3 linked regions of the Cricetulus griseus genome follow. The protein of the gene in region 1 purifies or fractionates together with the protein of each later gene. This does not show direct contact. Links are inferred from orthologs where the notes say so. Each region holds a gene or a part of one and is shown in the gene's direction. Other genes may lie near its edges. The genes, in order: Nup85, Nup133 and Nup37.

Evidence for each region.
Region 2: the proteins of Nup85 (region 1) and Nup133 purify together in Homo sapiens (affinity purification with mass spectrometry; 5 studies listed by BioGRID and IntAct, with this or other methods). This does not show direct contact. The link is inferred for Cricetulus griseus from reciprocal best matches to the Homo sapiens genes NUP85 and NUP133.
Region 3: the proteins of Nup85 (region 1) and Nup37 purify together in Homo sapiens (affinity purification with western blotting; 4 studies listed by BioGRID and IntAct, with this or other methods). This does not show direct contact. The link is inferred for Cricetulus griseus from reciprocal best matches to the Homo sapiens genes NUP85 and NUP37.

Annotation. Positions count from the first base shown.
Region 1 is NC_048600.1:128,174,456-128,177,395, forward strand, and holds part of Nup85 (nuclear pore complex protein Nup85), read left to right. Parts: intron 1-1,124; coding exon 1,125-1,208; intron 1,209-1,356; coding exon 1,357-1,422; intron 1,423-1,587; coding exon 1,588-1,739; intron 1,740-2,620; coding exon 2,621-2,738; intron 2,739-2,825; coding exon 2,826-2,926; intron 2,927-2,940. UniProt on the Homo sapiens protein: Essential component of the nuclear pore complex (NPC) that seems to be required for NPC assembly and maintenance. As part of the NPC Nup107-160 subcomplex plays a role in RNA export and in tethering NUP96/Nup98 and NUP153 to the nucleus.
Region 2 is NC_048596.1:200,589,230-200,592,884, reverse strand, and holds part of Nup133 (nuclear pore complex protein Nup133), read left to right. Parts: intron 1-889; coding exon 890-1,025; intron 1,026-3,004; coding exon 3,005-3,123; intron 3,124-3,655. UniProt on the Homo sapiens protein: Involved in poly(A)+ RNA transport. Involved in nephrogenesis.
Region 3 is NW_023276806.1:154,167,751-154,171,405, forward strand, and holds part of Nup37 (nucleoporin Nup37), read left to right. Parts: intron 1-1,002; coding exon 1,003-1,075; intron 1,076-2,603; coding exon 2,604-2,698; intron 2,699-3,655. UniProt on the Homo sapiens protein: Component of the Nup107-160 subcomplex of the nuclear pore complex (NPC). The Nup107-160 subcomplex is required for the assembly of a functional NPC.

The DNA of each region.
Region 1 (2,940 bases):
ATCACAACTTCAGGCATGAAGGCTTACCTTTGATTTATGTTGAACACTCCTTCCTTCAGTTAAGGCTCATCATTGCAGTAAGGGAGGCACTCAGCCTGAGGGCTGTGAACCTGAGAGTCCCAGGCCAGGCCAGGACTACATAGTCTCAAACAGGAAAACTTTCATAGAGACTCTGTGTGTAGTCTTGTTGGGTGTTTTTGTTTTGTTTTGTTTCTCTAGGCAGGGTTTCTCTGTAGGTTTTGGAGATTGTCCTGGGATTCTCTTTGAAGACCAGGCTGGCTTTGAACTCAGAGATCCACCTGCCTCTGCCTCCCAAGTGCTGGGATCAAAGGCGTGTGCCGCCACACTGTGTTTAGTCTTTGGGCATCTGTCTGGCTGTTTGTATTGGACTGAGAATTGATTTGCAGCCTGCTGGGAAGGGAGGAAGTTGGGAGTGGCAGTAGACAGCCTTGCTTTGAAGCACTGGCCTGGATTTGTTACTGTAGATCTGGGCAATGGGAAGGATTTACCTTCTGCTACCATGTTAATTTTGAGGGGAGCCTATTTCATGTAGTTCAGGTAGAAGTTAAACTTGATACATAGTTAAGGCTAACCTTGAACTCTTGACCCTTCTGTCTCTACTTAGTAGGTATGAGGATTACAGACACACATTTTGTTTTGTGTTTGTTTTTGAGACCGGGTTTCTCTGTGTGGAGCCCTGGCTGTCCTGGAACTTGCTATGTAGATCAGGCTGGTCTCTAACTGAGAGAGATCTGCTTGCTTTGCTTCCCAAGCATTGGGATTAAAGGTGTGTGCCACCAGCAGGAGGCTCTATTTATTTATTTATTTATTTATTTATTTATTTATTTAAATTATGAGCTTGATGCACATACATGAATACCCATGCCATGTTCCCAGTCGAGGTCCAGGGACAACTTTTGAGAGTTGGTTCTCTTCATTGTGTGGGTCCCCGGAATTAAAGTCTGGTTGTTATGCTTGGCATAGGGCCCTTTCCCTCTGCCATTCCTCTGTCCAGTCCTGTGCTCTTTTTAAAGCGTTAAGATGTGTGGGTTTCTTGCTCATCTCGGTCATGGGATTCAGTCCTTTCCCTGACTTCCTTTTCCCTTTTGTGTCTGCATTTGTAGCATTGCCTTGAGCAACTGGTGGTTTGTAGCTCACCTCACCGACCTTTTGGATCACTGCAGACTCCTCCAGTCACACAACCTCTAGTAAGTTGGCCAAATGCACTGTCCCTCTTTCTTACGTCACCAGGCCTTTGAGGGAGGGCCAGTGGAATGCACAGGAGGAGGTTAGGTTACAGGAGCCTGAGGGGCAGTCTTGCAATTCTGTGTTGTTTTTTTGTTTTTTGTTTCCCAGTTTTGGTTCTAATATGAGAGAATTCCTTCTGCTGGAATATGCCTCAGGACTGTTTGCTCATCACAGGTAGGAAGTCCCACAAATGGTACTGACCTTGTGGAAGCCAGTGGTGCTTCACTGTCCTCTCTTGGCTGGTTTTGAGGGTTTGGGACAATGAACCTCAGGTGGCAATGCCCAGAGCCATAGGGCAGTCCCTCTAGCCTTTCAACATCTGCCTTCCTTGGACCTTAGCCTGTGGCAGCTGGGGGTGGATTACTTTGACTACTGCCCGGAGCTGGGCCGAGTTTCCTTGGAGCTGCACATTGAGCGGATTCCTCTCAACACAGAGCAGAAAGCCCTGAAGGTGCTGAGGATTTGTGAGCAACGGCAGATGACCGAACAAGGTGATTGTGAGCTTCTCCCAGCTTGCCCTCTGGTTTGTCAGTGCATCCCTGGGCTGAGCACGGCACCCCAACATGGTGACAGCTAACCTTTCCCTGCCACACTAGAGAGCTGGTGTGTGGTACATGCCCACCGTCAGGGAGGGACAGGTGGGCTGGGAGTGCCCTTTCAAACCTAGAACAATCAGCCCTTCTCCTTTTAGCAGACCCAGCTTGTTCTCACATACGATGAGATCTGTGTTCAGAGCTGAGAGTCCTAGGTGGGTGGTTGCTACAGGGAAGCCTAGAGCAGCGGGGCAGCCCGGCAGGAGCACAGCGAGTGCAACTGGGACAGGTGTCCGTTGCTTTGTCGTCATCCTCCTACTGCTGCTGGCTGGGAAGCAAGTGAACCCTGAAACCATATCGTGAGCTCATGGGGTTCAAGACCCGAAAGGAGGAAGGTAGATTTTGTGGTCTCTAGACAGATAATGGTGGGATTGTTTTGTGGGGGGAACCAAGACTTTTTGCTAAGCACAAACACTCAGAAAGCCAGGCTAGTAGGTGGGTCGTCTGTGGTACTGGGTAGAGAGAAGACAGCAAGAATAAACTATGAGCTGGGCGGTGGTGGTGTACACCTTAAGTCCCAGCATGGAGGAGGCAGGGGCAGGTGGATCTCTGTTAGTTTGAGGCTAGCTTGGGCTACGGAGTGAGTCTCAGGACAGCCAAGGCTACACAGGGAAACCCTGTCTTCAAAAGCAAAAAAAACAAAAGAATATACTATTAAGTTTCTGGTTCTTCTGACTTAGCTGTATATTGAGTTCATAGTACTTTTGATTGTAATGATGCTCTTCACAGGAGGGATTATAAGATGTAAGACTTTGCCTTTTGTCTTCTCTCCTGCAAAGTTCGAAGCATCTGTAAGATCTTGGCCATGAAGGCTGTCCGCAATAATCGTCTGGGCTCAGCCCTCTCTTGGAGCATCCGAGCCAAAGATGCTGCTTTTGCCACACTCGTATCTGACAGGTGGGTACAGTTTTCTAGTTGGCTGGGAGGTTGGAGTTTGAGGAGGGCCTAGTACTGCTGCTCTAACCTTTGGGTTGGGTCCTGCAGATTCCTCAGGGATTACTGTGAGAGAGGCTGCTTTTCTGATCTGGATCTCATTGACAACCTGGGGCCAGCCATGATGCTCAGTGATCGACTGACATTCTTGGGTGAGTCTCTGCAT
Region 2 (3,655 bases), on another chromosome or scaffold:
TCTCAAATAAGTTCTCATAGATATGGTAATTAGCCTTATTTAACCTTTCCTGTTTTATGTGTATCTTGCACTTTGTGAATATATATATATATATATATATATATATATATATATATATATTGATTTCTTCTTCCCAGGTATGTCTAGGTTTGTGTCGAATTGACAGAAATCTCACCTGCACACCTCCTATTCTCTCACATCATTGGAATGGTATTGTCTTACTTCTAATACTCCAAATGCAGGTCACTGTACTTGGTCAATTACAATTTTTAAAATTACAAACATTTTATATAAAAGTCATTAATCTTTTTCTTTTTTCTTTTTTTCCCTTCTAATGAAAATTCAAATCCTGGGATCGAGGAAGATAGTAAAATGAGTAGGCTTCTAGGAACCTGTGTGAAAAGCCAGACCTGCAGCGCACACATATAATGTCATACTTGAAAGGCAGAGATAGGCAGATCCCTGGAGCTCACTGGACAGCCAGCCTTAGTCTACGAGCTTCAAGTTCAGTGAGAGCTACTGCCTCATAAAAGAAATCAGAGAGTAACTGATGAAGACACTAAACACCTCTGGCCTGCTTACACACATATGTGCATGTACAAAATGGGAACCCATAACACAAAACTCAGATTATGGGTAAAAACAGTGCAAATTAAAGTTGTGCTGGTGACAGGGTGCTAAGTGAATACACAGTTGTTATGGAGCGGTATTTTCTCAGTCTCCCTTTCCAGTCTGCTTGAGATTTCCATGTGTATTGCTTTGGCACTGATCCCAGGTAGTTAGGCTTACTAGCATGTCTTCTTTCAGACCCCTTGGAGAAGAAATGAGTTTGGTATTTGCTGAGCTACTTCAAGGGCCTCTTGTGATTTTCTTGTTTTGTTTATTGTAGGCTCATACAACGCTGCTCGGTTTGGCAAATATGGAAACTCGTTACTTCGCAAAGAAAAAAACCCTTCTTGGCTTGAGTAAACTGGCTGCATTAGCTTCAGACCTTTCAGAGGACACGCTGCAAGAGAAAATTGAAGGTAAAAGGAAATCAGAATGAGAAGGCACACAAGTCAGCTGCACTATGACCATCTATGTAGTCATTGCAGTTTAGTAGGAATGCTGTTACTTATCTTACTCAGCATCCATACTTTATCATTCAGACATGTAATCGGAATCATTAATACCATTCTTACTCTGCTGAGTCAGAAATAGAGGATCCCTGGGGCTTGCTCTCCAACCCGCCTAGCCAAATTAGTGAGCTCCAGTTTTTTTTTTGTTTTGTTTTTTTAAAAGACCCTGTCTAAAAAAAATAAGGCAGAGAACAATTGAAAAAGACATCCAATGTCAACCTCTGGCTTCTACACACATACAAAAGCTAAACCATTGAGTTGAGAGTTAGTACACAGACCTCTCAGATAAGATAAGCCCATGTTTCACACTTCTGAAGTGCTGTGACATGGTTTTGTATGTCATATATTCCTTTGCCAGTGTGAAGTATCTCACCACAAGGAAACAGGACATTGTACACGTATGTCAGCCTGGCCTCTTTATAGTTAGTAATGTGAGGACAAAAAGGTAAACTATTAGAAGAAAGGAGCTGAGGCATATGGTGACCAAATTAGCATGATCATGAGGCCTTTGATTGGATCTTTGGGCATCCTTCAACCAAACAACTGTGATGAATATTTTGGAAACAACTAGGAAAACTTGAACTTTTTTTTTTTTTTTTTTTTTCTTTCTTGAAATTGAGTCTCACTATGAAGCCCAGGCTGGCCTTGAACTTATAGCCCTTCCTCACCAGCCTCCTGAATGCTATAAATGAACATATTTAAGATTAGATGATATTACCATAAGCTTCTTAACTTCCATAGGCTTAATAATGCTGTTTTTTGATTAGATGTCCTTATTCTGTTTTTTGTTTTGTTTTGTTTTGTTTTTTCAAGACAGGGTTTTTCTGTGTAGCCCTGGCTGTCCAGAAACTCATTCTGTAGACCAGGCTGGCCTTAAACTCAAGAGCTTCATCTGCCTCTGACTCAAATTTGGTATTAAAGGCATGTCCGTATTCTTAGAAATACATACTGAAGATACTGAAGTACTCAGAATTTAAATGCCTTAATACCTGCAGATTTCCTCTGATAGAAGGGGGGTGGGGGAGCCAGGCATGGTGGCATATACCTGTGATCACTGCACCTTGTAGGCTAAAGCAGAACTGGAGTTTTAAGGCCAGTCATGGCTACATAATAAACTGAAGGCCAGCCTGGGCTATGTGAGACCTGTCTCCAAAAGAAAAAAGAAAAAAAATTGAAAGAGCTAGATGTGGTTGTGCATGACTTTAATCCTAGCACTCAGGAGGTAGAAGATGGCAGATCTAGGTCTCAAAATTAAATAAATTTTGGTTATATGAGTAATTCCTATGGAAAATTTTAAATTATGGGGGAGGAAGATTTTGTATTTGGTTGGAGGTTCCACCTCCTGAAGTAACAACTGTGAATTTTGGTTTCCTTTGCTCACTGGCAGTTTGTGGAACACTGTTGCTGTGTGAGTAGAAATGCTGTGCTTCTGTCTATTGTGGCTGTTGTGGACAGACAGCAGTTCATCCCCGCTTCTCCAGCAGCCCAGTACATCAGGACAGAGAATCAGAGCAGGAGCCTGGAACCAATGGGGTGTTCTTATCCATTAATAACTGGGTGCCCATATACACAGGTTTTGTTTTTCTTCTGATATATTGTGGTTTCTGAATGATACTGCCATGCTCTTTCACTGAGCTGCTCTAAAGTAGGGCCTGCAGCTTGGGCTCAGACCTCCTGAAGTACATTTCTCTCTCCATAGCTGCTTTCTGCTGCTGTGGTCATGTATACACATTGGATTAAACAGTAAATATGTTGTCAGCAGTAAAGAATAAATGTGGAGACTCTGGGGTAGCAATGAATTGCCTTTAGAGTTGTTGGTTTTTAATCTGATTTGATTGATGAAAACAGAAGTGAAAATGTCATCATTGTCTGTCCTTGATCAACAGCAATGGCTGAGCAAGAGCGCTTCCTGCTGCACCAGGAGACGCTGCCAGAGCAGCTGCTGACCGAGAGACAGCTGAGTCTTAGTGCAATGCCTGTGTTGACTGCACCACAGCTCATCAGTGTAAGTGTTGTATATGTTTCCACATTCAGATCAAGCCTGAGTTTTCTAGGCCATACTGTGGAGCTCTCAACAGTATCCTTTTCCTCCTCCTACCTGCCAGAGACCTTTCCCCTAGAACAGCTATTAGAAGCACAAAGAATTAGCAGGATGCAGCTCTCCTGGCCCTTCAGGTACTCATTCAGGAGACTAGTAGGAAACCTGGTAGTTTGCCTTCTCAGAATAGGAATGTGTGCTATGAGGTTAACTATCCTTCTAGAATGTTACACTAAGACTCTTGTTAGCAAAGGTATGTTTGAGGAACTAAGATGCAGAGGCTTCGGGTACTGTCTTCACCTGTTTGCTGGCAACCAAATGATCCAAGGCAAGACCAGAGCATCTAGGTTGCATCAGATGAGCAGCTGGTGTTGTATGCATACTACCTTCCTCCTCTTTCTCCTCCTCCTCCTCCTCTTCCTCCTCCACCTCCTCCTCCTCCTCCTCCTCCTCTGCTCTAACTGTAGTTAAAGGAAAGCAAGCAGTCCAGAATCTTGAG
Region 3 (3,655 bases), on another chromosome or scaffold:
TCAAACCAAATATTGACACAATGGTTTCTCAAAATACAATGTCAGTTGTCCTGTTTGTTTACTGTTGCCCTTTTTCTTTCATAATAAGAAATGGGAAATTATGTTATGTTACCTAGATATGCCCATGTTCTTTATGAATGGTGACAAACTTGAACCTGCTTGATGGCTTTAAGACTCTGCAAGCAGGTACTTCGTAAGTACGATTATTATGTGAAGACTTCTTGCTTGTCTGTGGCAGCAGATATCATAAAAGTTATACACAGACTTGTTTACTCATTAGCTTTTTACTAATATTTACATATTTAATGTCTTCCTCAAGACAGAAAGAAGCCAAGAAGTTGGATACCCCAGATTTATATATAATTGTATATGAGTATAGTCATATGCTGTATTTTTTGCTTTACTTAGAGTATCTGAAATAAATAGAATTTTCTTTGTGACTGCAACTGCATAGTGGGCTCTGTAAATTGCTAAGGTATGACTTAGAATCTCTCACTGTCCAGTTTTAGTTTACACATAAAAAAAGTCCTAGTTGGTAATGCATGTGCTGTTTGCTTGGTTGCCCTCTTCCTGACTTGCTGCTCCTTTGCTCCCTGCTTGTTTTTCTTTCATAGTAGCAGAGAGCAGATTGCTCATCATCTTTGCTCTTCTTAAAAGATGACTTGTAAACCCCTAAAGTAGCAGAAATTCAGAGAAAGGTAGAGAATGCAAGGTATTCCATGCCAGCTTAATATGAAATTCTGTGTTTAATAAGACACAAATCCAGAACGTACTAACATTTTGTGTGTTCCAGAATAAAACATTGCATTTATCTGCTCCTTTCTTTAATGGATGTAACCTTTCTAGTGCATACTGCAATAACTCCTGCCCCTACCACCACCAATCCCAAAAAGCATCATGAGTTTTGATAAGGTTTGATGACTTAGAGGCAAAGGTGGCATAGAGGAAGGACTTCAATTTACAAAAGCTAAAAATGGATTTGTTTGCTTTTTTTTCCTTCAGATTTTGTACCTCAGCTGCTGATATGAAGATTAGACTATTTACTTCAGATCTTCAAGATAAAAATGAATATAAGGTATATTGACGAGTACAATAAGTAGAAATGTTAAAAGTCTGTTCATTTTCCTTGCTTTTTTAATTGTACTTATGATTTAAAATGACTTCTTAATGGCTGTTGGATTAGTAAGAAATTCTCTAGAGGAACAAAAGCAGTATAATGAATATATTTTATAAAAGTGGATTTATTAAATTGACTGGCATTACTAGTAGGAGCAGGGTCATCCAGCAGTGGTAAAGAGGCTGGAAACGCTGTTGTTCAGTGAAGTTCTACACTTCAGCAGTCCCAGTAGTCTTGAAGGCCTAAAAGATTCTCAGTGAGATAATATGGGGACTCTTATGTCAGTAAAGAACAGGGATAGCAGCAGCAGCAGCAGCAGGCTGGACACCAGTAAGCAGTAAAGGCAGGCTGACAGGCAATGATGGTTCTTCCTGGACCACTTATATCTACTGCCAGCCACTCTGGGGGAAGGTCTTCCTTCAGTCCAATGGCCTGTGTCTTAGTTAACTCAAGATCCAGGAAAGCTGGCGATTATGATTCACCATCTCTTTAAAGTCCACAATTTAGGGTTCATTTACACTATTATAAACCCTAGTAACTAGGTTGTTAGAAGAAGCTAGTTAATAAATGTAACACTTACAGATGCTAGGAACAGCAAGTAAGAGGGGAGTTTATAGATGGAAGTGGTAAGGATGAAATGAAATATAACTTCAAGGGACAATTATTAAGTACAGAATAGCCTAGGCAGGATTACAGAGTGATGGTGAAGGGAGTAAGAACATGATATATGCACTGATAATTACAAAAGTTAATACTCTTCTTAAAGTTTGCTAAGGGATTAGGTCCTAGGTGTTCTTACAATACACATAAGTAAAGTAAGTGAACATAAAAACTTATGATGGCTTGATTGGCTTTGTTGCTATAATCATTTACAGTGTGTATGTCCTTAAATATATAATTAATTTAATGAGAACTCAATAAAGGTGGGAAAGTTTTAAGTAGATGTTTTCACAACTTCAGTTTTTATTTGAACTTTATGTAATAACTGAGCATGGAGGTGCTATGAGAACCAATTTAGTTAAAAAAAAATAGTATGTTTCTATAAGAAATACATACTAGAAAAGAAAGACTGTGTTGAATGATTGACTTCTTTCCAAGATAACCTTCTAGGAAAGTGGTTATATAAATCATACTTTTAAAATGGCAGCTTTTTAAAAATATATTTATAGAGAAAAGTACTCTGGGTGGTGGAGCACGCCTTAAATCCTAGCAATTGGGAGGCAGAAGCAGGTGGATCTCTGTGAATTTGAGACTAGCCTGGTCTACAGAGCTAGTTCCAGAACCACTTCCAAAGCTACAGAGAAACCCTTTCTTAAGAAACCTTAAAAAGGGAGGGAAAGAGGAAGGGAGGAGGGAGGGAGGGAGGGAGGGAGGGAGGGAGGGAGGGAGGGAGGGAGGGAGGGAAAATTATGAAGTGAAAATATTAGATAGAGATAGATAGTATGGATTGTGGCCGTGCTTCCTTACTGATCTCTTTCTCCTCCAGGTTTTGGAGGGTCATTCAGATTTCATTAATGACTTGGTGTTCCATCCCAAGGAAGGCCATGAAATTGCAAGTGTAAGTGATGACCACACCTGCAGGTATGTTGTATGTGTTACAGCCACATTTGTGAATTGTCATTTTATTTTAATAAACATTTTAAAATTAGGAAATTGTAATCTGTATAGGCCCCATGAAATATCATAAATGAGATGTATTTCATTTAAATTGTAGACATGGCACAAATATTCCAAAACCACTAAATTAAGTTTTCATACAATTAACAGGCATTGCCCTTACTGGTTCCTGAGTACCTCTTTGCCCTCTTCTTTTGGTTCTGCATATTTATAAGCCTATATTTACCACTAGATCAAAGTAGGATAATTAAGTTAGTGTTTATTTAATGAACTGTGAATCTCATGTGCTGCCTAGGAGGGAAACTTTAATGTTTTGACAAATCCTAAAGGATATATATAAAGTTCTCAGTGGATACTTTTCAATATGATGTGTGTCCCCATGGCCTCCTTTCCCAGTCTAGAGTGGATAGGTAAGTATAACATAACAATGCTCAAAGCTGTAGAATATCAAAACTAATTGAAATAGAGAACAATGGTGTAGGTAGAAATGAGCGGAGGAGTACAGTATGAAATGAGGGAGTCAGGGAAGTGCCATTTGCTTGGTTTGCTTTAACATTGCTCTGAACAAAAGTTCACTGTATGCGCTTTGCAGTTTCAATGTTTGATGATGTCTTTCAAAACCATTCACATTTATTAATGCACATATATCTATATAGCTACTACATATGTTGTACTTCACATTGAAAGTAAATCCACTAGCTACTTCTTAAATATGTTGTCTTTATATAACTTACATTTTAAAGGGTATAGTTACAGTTATATGCTATTGTGTTTATGTACTGCCTGCATAATTTCCTTGTCAGGAATATGAAAGGTTTGTGGTCATAAAACATAGGGTCCCAAGTATTTACTAACCCATTTGTATAGGGACCTAAATAATAAGCAGATCATTTAAAATAATAGGAAAGTCGAAATAAATTT